Linked DNA regions of Schizosaccharomyces pombe. The protein of the gene in region 1 interacts with the protein of each later gene in a biochemical or structural test. Each region holds a gene or a part of one and is shown on either strand. Other genes may lie near its edges.

The links.
Region 2: of the proteins of set13 (region 1) and rpl42, one has a biochemical effect on the other in vitro, tested with the Schizosaccharomyces pombe proteins (one study listed by BioGRID).

What each region holds. Positions count from the first base shown.
Region 1 is NC_003424.3:3,139,139-3,143,720, forward strand, and holds set13 (ribosome L32 lysine methyltransferase Set13), read left to right. Parts: upstream 1-2,285; 5' UTR 2,286-2,324; coding exon 2,325-2,465; exon of another isoform or gene 2,466-2,513; coding exon 2,514-3,191; exon of another isoform or gene 3,192-3,257; coding exon 3,258-3,529; exon of another isoform or gene 3,530-3,580; coding exon 3,581-3,896; 3' UTR 3,897-4,045; downstream 4,046-4,582. Other genes in the region: SPOM_SPAC688.12C (uncharacterized protein), read right to left, coding at 1-87; scn3 (TatD DNase family Scn1), read left to right, coding at 586-1,593. UniProt on the Schizosaccharomyces pombe protein: S-adenosyl-L-methionine-dependent protein-lysine N-methyltransferase that monomethylates 60S ribosomal protein L42 (rpl42) at 'Lys-55'.
Region 2 is NC_003424.3:3,720,640-3,723,719, forward strand, and holds rpl42 (60S ribosomal protein eL42), read left to right. Parts: upstream 1-1,817; 5' UTR 1,818-1,869; coding exon 1,870-2,169; exon of another isoform or gene 2,170-2,359; coding exon 2,360-2,380; 3' UTR 2,381-2,435; downstream 2,436-3,080. Other genes in the region: bud6 (actin-interacting protein 3), read left to right, coding at 1-324; SPOM_SPAC15E1.02C (uncharacterized protein), read right to left, coding at 671-1,117.

The DNA.
Region 1 (4,582 bases):
AATAAGGAAAATAGCTAGTCCAATTTTGTTATTCTTCGGATTCGAGAAAGTCTTTGTCAATTGATACGGAGATTCTTCTTCACTCATTGTAATTTATTTTCTATTATAGGAGATATAAAAGAAGAACCGTTCGTTCCAAATTAATTTGATCAAAGTATGGTGAATGAAACCGTCGGGGTGGAGGTTAGGAAAAATGTGGTACTACAGACAAAAAATAGAATAATTTGCCTCTCCCATAAACAGATATTCAAGATGTATTTTATCGTATGTTCTCAAATTACCTAGACGCTAACACTAATAAATAAATTTGAAAATATTATTGGTAAGGTGGTCACATGGAGGAACTAGTCAACGAAATAGGTATCTGCCCTTGAGCTTGCAGTAGACTAATTAAATTGAAGACGACTGTAATATTCAAGTTTTATCTTTATGTCATCAAGTAATTACCAAACAATGGGGAAACGAATGAAGTTGTTGAATTTCATTAGCATACACATGTTTTCGTCAACTCCAACGTTACTCTCCCTATCCCAACTATTTAAAGTACGGTGGGCAGAGAGCATTCTGTTAACTACAAATATCATTATGGAATCTATCATTGACGCTCATTGCCATCCAACTGATGCACCGCAAGAATTACATTTGGTTGCTAATCTTTCTGTTGGTAAATTAATAGTAATGGGAACCCGGCCGACAGATCAAAAGTATGTCGAACAACTTGCGAAAGAATACCCTGGTAAAGTAATACCTAGTTTTGGGATACATCCATGGTTTTCTTATTATTTGTACGATGATTTGGATAAAGATTTGCAAAGTAGTGAAACGAGAAAAAAGAAGCATTACGAAAAAATATTGACTCCAATACCTGATGAAGATTTTATCAATGCTCTTCCCAACCCAGTCCCGATTTCAGAATTTTTGGAGGACGCTCGTCGACATCTTAAACAGTACCCAAACGCTCTCATTGGCGAAATCGGCTTGGATAAGCCATTTCGATTGCCAGTTGGCCCATATGATGCAAGGTCCTCACTTCCTCAAGGACCTCTATCACCATTTTACGTAAAAATGGAACATCAATGTAAAGTGTTTGAAGCACAAGTGCGTCTTGCTGCAGAATTCCAACGTGCTGTTAGTGTTCACTGCGTTCAGACGTATGCTCTTTTGTATAGCAGTTTAGCTAAATTTTGGGATGGTCGCTGGATTCCTTCCAAAACGAAAATACGAAAGATGAAGAAAGAAGAGTACGAAAATTCTCTTGCTGAAGAACGAAAGCATTACCCTCCCAAAATTTGCCTTCATAGCTACTCTGGTAGCATTGAGCAAATTTCTCAGTTTTCAGCCCATAAAGTTCCGACCGAGTTTTACTACTCTTTTTCAATAGGTATAAATAGTCGTTATAAAAATTTTATTCAAACACTTAAAGGCGTTCCCGACGATAAGCTATTGGCAGAGAGTGATCATCACAGTGCTAGCCAAATCGATGAATTAGTTCGACAATCTTTGAACGTTATGTCAGAAGCTAAGTCCTGGACTTTTGAGGATACTATTACAAAAATTTCAAGTAACTCTAAAGCATTTTTGAAAGTAACTTGAACGCATGCACTACGGTTTATTGACAAATTAGAGTTACCTGCACAATCACCTTAAATAAGTGCATAAGAGATTACTGGCTATTCCCATTGGAATTGGTAACCTTTAGGTTCGTTTTTTATCTGTTTCGTTTACTAAATCCCGAAACTTGACTGAACTAGTGTGGAAATGCTTGCGTTTGCATACAACTTTATTTATAATGTCCTTTTTCATGAACTTTTTTCTTATATTGTCCACCTAATGTCTCTATCTTAAAAATTTCTAACACTTTGCTGAACATGTTTAGCAAAATTCTTTTGTTTATTTATTACTTAGGATAAAATATTTTTTAAAAAAATTTTTGTGATTCCCGTTACTAAAGTATTCTACTAAAACCATCTTGAATTTCCACTTTTTATGAAAGGAATATGCACGTACAGCAAATTCTTAGACTTTTTTGCTCTTTTAGTGATCGTAAGCCAAGCATTAACTGATGTATCTTAGCCATTCAAATTCGTAATACTAAGCTACTTTTTTTTCCAATTCTTGGTATGCCTATTTCACAAATTGAAATTTATACATCAGTTACACTTATAAATCTTTTAACATTGATTAAGAACCCAATTGAATACTACTATCTGAATTAACGACAACTCGGTCATTTCAGGCTATTCAAAAAGGAGGTTAGGGGCAGACCTAAGGAATTTGTTTCTTCTGTGTACAAAAGTGTTAGTGACCAACATAGAGGGGCAGTGATGTTGAAGCAAGCGGAATCTATGTTAAAATGGGCAATCGAAAAGGATAATTATACTACTTCTGAAAAAATTGGACTCAACGATTACCGTCACGTACATGAGTCACTGGGGATTGGATTCATCGCCTTAGAGGACATTAAGGTAAGCAATCCAAAACTGACAGTATATGAAATCTAACAATACTTGAAGGAAGATGAAAAATTAGTCAGTTTCAAGAAGGATAGTGTTTTGTGCTTGACAAATTCGGACTTGGCACAACTTCCCGAAGTTCAAAGTTTACCCAGTTGGGCTGCCCTTTTGTTAGTAATGGCAACTGAAAATGCAAGTCCTAACTCGTTTTGGAGACCTTACTTGTCGATCTTCCCAACCAAAGAAAGAATTACTTCACCCTTTTACTGGGATGAAAACAAAAAAGATGCCCTTCTGAGAGGTACCGTATTAGAATCCAATGAGGATTGTAATGAAATTACACAATTATGGATCGACAGAATTGAACCCATAATTAAGTTATACCCAAATCGGTTTTCACAAGTGAGCTATGAGGACTTCTTGCGAATGAGTGCTGTAATGCTTGCATATAGCTTCGACATTGAAAAAACGAAATCGCCAATTTCGAATGAAAATGAAAAGTCTGCTGCTGAAACTTCGATAAAGGAGGACAAAAATGGAGATGCTGCTAAGAAGAATGAAGGTTCGGCTAATCAAGATGACGAAAAATTGCATTCACAAAGTCTTGTGGGTAACAACTGTGAAGTAAATTCAGAAGACGAATTTTCTGATCTCGAATCTGAGGTCGACCCTGATGAACTTGAAAAGGCAATGTGTCCTATATCTGATATGTTTAATGGTGACGATGAACTTTGTAACGTAAGAACTTTCGAACCTCAATGAGTTATTAATTGAAGCCAAAGATGTATACTAACTATGCTTTAGATTCGTCTCTACGATATCAATGGAACACTTACGATGATTGCTACTCGGGATATCAAAAAAGGAGAGCAATTGTGGAATACTTATGGGGAATTAGATAATTCAGAGTTATTTAGGAAATATGGATTTACTAAGAAGAAAGGTACTCCACATGACTTTGTTTTGATTAAAAAAGAGCACTGGCTTCCTGAGTACATTGAAAAGCTTGGATTTGAAGAAGTAGAAGCACGTCTTGAATTATTATGTCGTGAAGAGTTACTTTACAATTTGGAGGGGTAAGTTATGATCAATTCAATGATGAGCTTTTTATACCTAACGTTTTCTAGTGATTTTACATTTTCAAAAGCGGATTTGACGTTCAAAGAAATTTGTTTGGCCTTTGTGTTGATGGAAAAAGAAAAGGAATTAATATCTGTTCCTTCGAAATCAGACATAAAACCAAAGCATTATAGAAAACTACTCAAGATTATTGAAAAGCGGATAAATATGTATCCGAAGATTTCAGATCCAAAGAATTTTGATGAGGAAAATGCAAAGACATTAATTGAAGGGGAAATTGATATACTTCAAAATCTCTCTGCGAAAGTCAAAGAAGCCCTGACAAAAAATCGACCCAAGAAAAAGCAAAAGGTTGATCACTGAAAAGGAAAGCTGTGATATTGATAATTTTTTTTGCTACGAATTAAGTTCTTTATTACGGAAAAATAAATAAGATTATAGAGGTAAAATTATGGATGTATAGAATTTTGGGGACTTGCTACTCATAAATAATAAAAATTTTTGACTTGTGTATTGTTGTAGGCAATTAAAATAAGGCAGTACGTTTTATTAATTAATTTTTAAAATATAAACTATTGACTAAAAAAAATATGTTTTAAGTATTTGAGCATTAAAAAAAAATCCAAAAAATTAATCGCCAAGGTATATATCACTTACTTTATATTAGACAACATATTTAGAGAATGAAAATTAAGGCATACTAATTTTTTTTTATACTTTTTTTTTTATTTCCTAGTAATATTATTGTTTTTTTGGTTTAGTATTTCGTTATGTGAATAGTAAACTTGACTATTCAGTAATACTATAAAAATAACAAATACTGATATTGTAAAATCTCACATTCTATTTATTATTAGTAACCCAACAGATTTGCACACATATGAAAAAGTAATTATTCAAAACACTAATTTACCAAGTTGAATCAACTTCTAATGTTTTGAAACGGATTTGCTTGAGGAATATGTGAGATTGTCAATGAATGTAAGTGTCAAATTACTCAATTGTCTATTTGGTTAAGTTAGTACTGCTATGTTTTTACGGGTTTTATT
Region 2 (3,080 bases), 580 kb from region 1:
CAGGTGGATACAGAGAATTTTATGTTAGAACGCAGTCCATTGGCAACTCCAAAGCCATTGAAGCAACCTGATTTTAATATATATGAGACGCCGATCGTCCGTAGTACAGCTCATGAAACAGATGATGAACAAACCCCTTCTAAATACTCCGATAACAGAGTCGAAAGTTCTAGTGATACAGTGTTTGAGAATACTGATCTTAAGTACGATAACAATGTACAGATGAGTAAAGTGACTCATCATGTAAGACACGATACGATATCCACTGATGACTATGACGCTTACGAAGATGCCGAAGATGTTGAAGAGACAAGCCTAACTTAATGTGCATAAGTTTTATTCGATTTGGCAATGATTGTATGCCAGTTTGTGTATTTTTTTTTTACTTTTTTTAACTTTAATTGTTACGAGAGAAATTACCCTGTATTACACTAGGACTGATGCAAATCTTGTGAATCAAGGATTTGCTGAATAGAGTTACAACATACCTTAATATGTACAGTTATAACAAGCAAAGGAAGCTTCGATGTTGTCCAATACCACTATTGGGATACTATTTTCACTTACAGTCTAACCAAATATGAGATAAACACAGAAAAGAAATCTTAGATATTAAAGAAAATTTGATTAACTTGTCGTTTTAAAAATCAGATATTGAACCATCGGAATCTTAAATACGACGTACGCCGTAACCGATCAAGGCAACACTTAAGCCTACTGATTTCACTAGAGAAGATATAGTTTTGACAAGGATGTAAGGGGTACCTCTGCTTTCTGTGAACATATAGTCGACTACGTCGGGCAATCCAGATGCACCAAATACATAAAGACCCACGAAAAAGGCACCTTTGAGTGTCACAGTGCCTGTAAGTTGCAACAATGCAGCGATCGAGTACGACTGAACTGCTGTACTAAGGAAATTGCTAACATAAGTTGTAGCAACCTTCTTGGTTTTACTTCCAGCGTCATATTCGACGTGAGGTGCAGTGCTCATTGCCCTTTTCCAAATATCGCCCATTAGGGGTCCATAAACGAGGAAAGAAGCAGCATGGTCGAAGGCAATCCCCAAGAGAATTGCACTAGGGCGTACATACGGCATGTGAGTGTAGGATGGCATTTCTTGTATTAATATTTAGTTTGAGTTAGAACAAGATTAATATGAATGTGAATATTTTGTAAAATAAATGTTTTGTAATTAAAGGATTTAAGGGCGCTACCACTAAATATATAGTATACTCAAGGTCCAATTATGGATTTAGGTACAGATTAATTTGGGGCGTCACTTTGACGTGTCGATGAAGTATGATAATTGGGAAATACTGCTTAGCCTGACTTGACTTGTTTTAAGTCGCTATTTCGCTATTTACATAGTGATATCTACATCATTTTCCTAAACTTTTGGTGGAGCAATATCTCATACTGTTCGGATGCTGTGCCAAGTCTTGCATAAAGAAATCAGTGAAGTCGATAAATATAAGATTTGGAGTGCAGCGATGGTAACAACTAGTGATTAAAAATAGAAATTTACTACAATAATTTTCGCATGTTTTACATTAAAAAGCCCTCACAGAAGAATCAAAGTTGGATTGAAATTCCAGCACTAAAACAATGTAGCTTAGAAATTTTGTTTGCTGGCCCACATTTGATATATTGCAAGCTTGATCTTACGCAGTAAACACTTTTAGGGTAGCTATCGGTTGTTCACACTATTGCGAACAGTGCGTTGAACGACATTACAGCAGCAAGTAAACCTAACCTAGAGGAATAAGAAACAGTCACATTTGTACAACAAGGGTTTAGCAGAGAAACTTTATGCTGTCGAGTTCCTAATCACCACCATCTAACCATCACTTATAAAAGTATCAAAAAATGGTGAACATTCCCAAGACCCGTAAGACTTACTGTCCTGGTAAGAACTGCCGCAAGCACACTGTCCACAGAGTCACCCAATACAAGAAGGGACCTGATTCCAAGCTTGCTCAGGGTAAGCGTCGTTATGACCGCAAGCAAAGTGGTTTTGGTGGTCAAACTAAGCCCGTTTTCCACAAGAAGGCTAAGGTTACCAAGAAGGTTGTCCTTCGTTTGGAATGCGTCTCTTGCAAATACAAGAATCAATTGGTTTTGAAGCGTTGCAAGCATTTCGAGCTTGGTGGTGAAAAGAAGACTAAGGTATGTCGAAGAATGCTGATAACGAGTGGATTGGATTTAGACGAATTTGTAAAAGAGTTTTTGCCGTGGTTGAATACCTCTCAAATCCAGAAAAAAAATTTTGCAAAGCGCTTTTATGAATTGTCTTTTGTTGAGTTTCATCCTTATTATCGATCATTTTCTTTATTTCATCTACTAACAATCATTTTAGGGTGCTGCTATCCAATTCTAAGTGTTTTAGCAAATACAATTTTCTTCTTTTACGGTGATCCTAAAAGCAATTCAAAGTAGTGTTTCATTTGTATTGTATAAATAATGACATGATTCCGATAGAGTAGCACACAAAGTGATGAGTTGTCATCAATTAGCAGTTCGCTAACGCTAAGGTCTGTTCTCAATATTGGAGCAATCTTTTTCGAGTGTTTCTAGTTCCATCGGTTTGAGTCAGAGCTTTTCAAGACTTGTATTACTGCTTGAGTAGAAGACAGGTGTTGTGATTTCGGAAAATAACCCATCACATTTGTCAGCATGTTAACTAAGATAAAAGTAATCAAACAAGTACAGCGTAAAATAGCGAGAGTACTAAAGCATCAAATATGCTTTCAAGTATTGCAAAAAAATTTTCTTTAAATTATCCATGCTTACGGGTCTTCTAAGGTTTAGGAGACTATGCCATTTGCCGAATTATGGATATATTAAGTAACTAATTGCTAATAGTGAGAGTGTAGTGCATCCTTGCATAACGGCACTTGGATTTCACACTGCAGGCATAATAAATAATTACTTTTTTTTGGTACTAAAGCAACGTACGTTCTTTGTTTTTCTGCGTACGACGTGTACAATTCCCTTGCAAAACTAAGGTTCGCTTGTTCAATTGCTAAATTTGTTTTTGTGGACGACCATTATAACGCGCTTCAATGAGTTTATAAAAG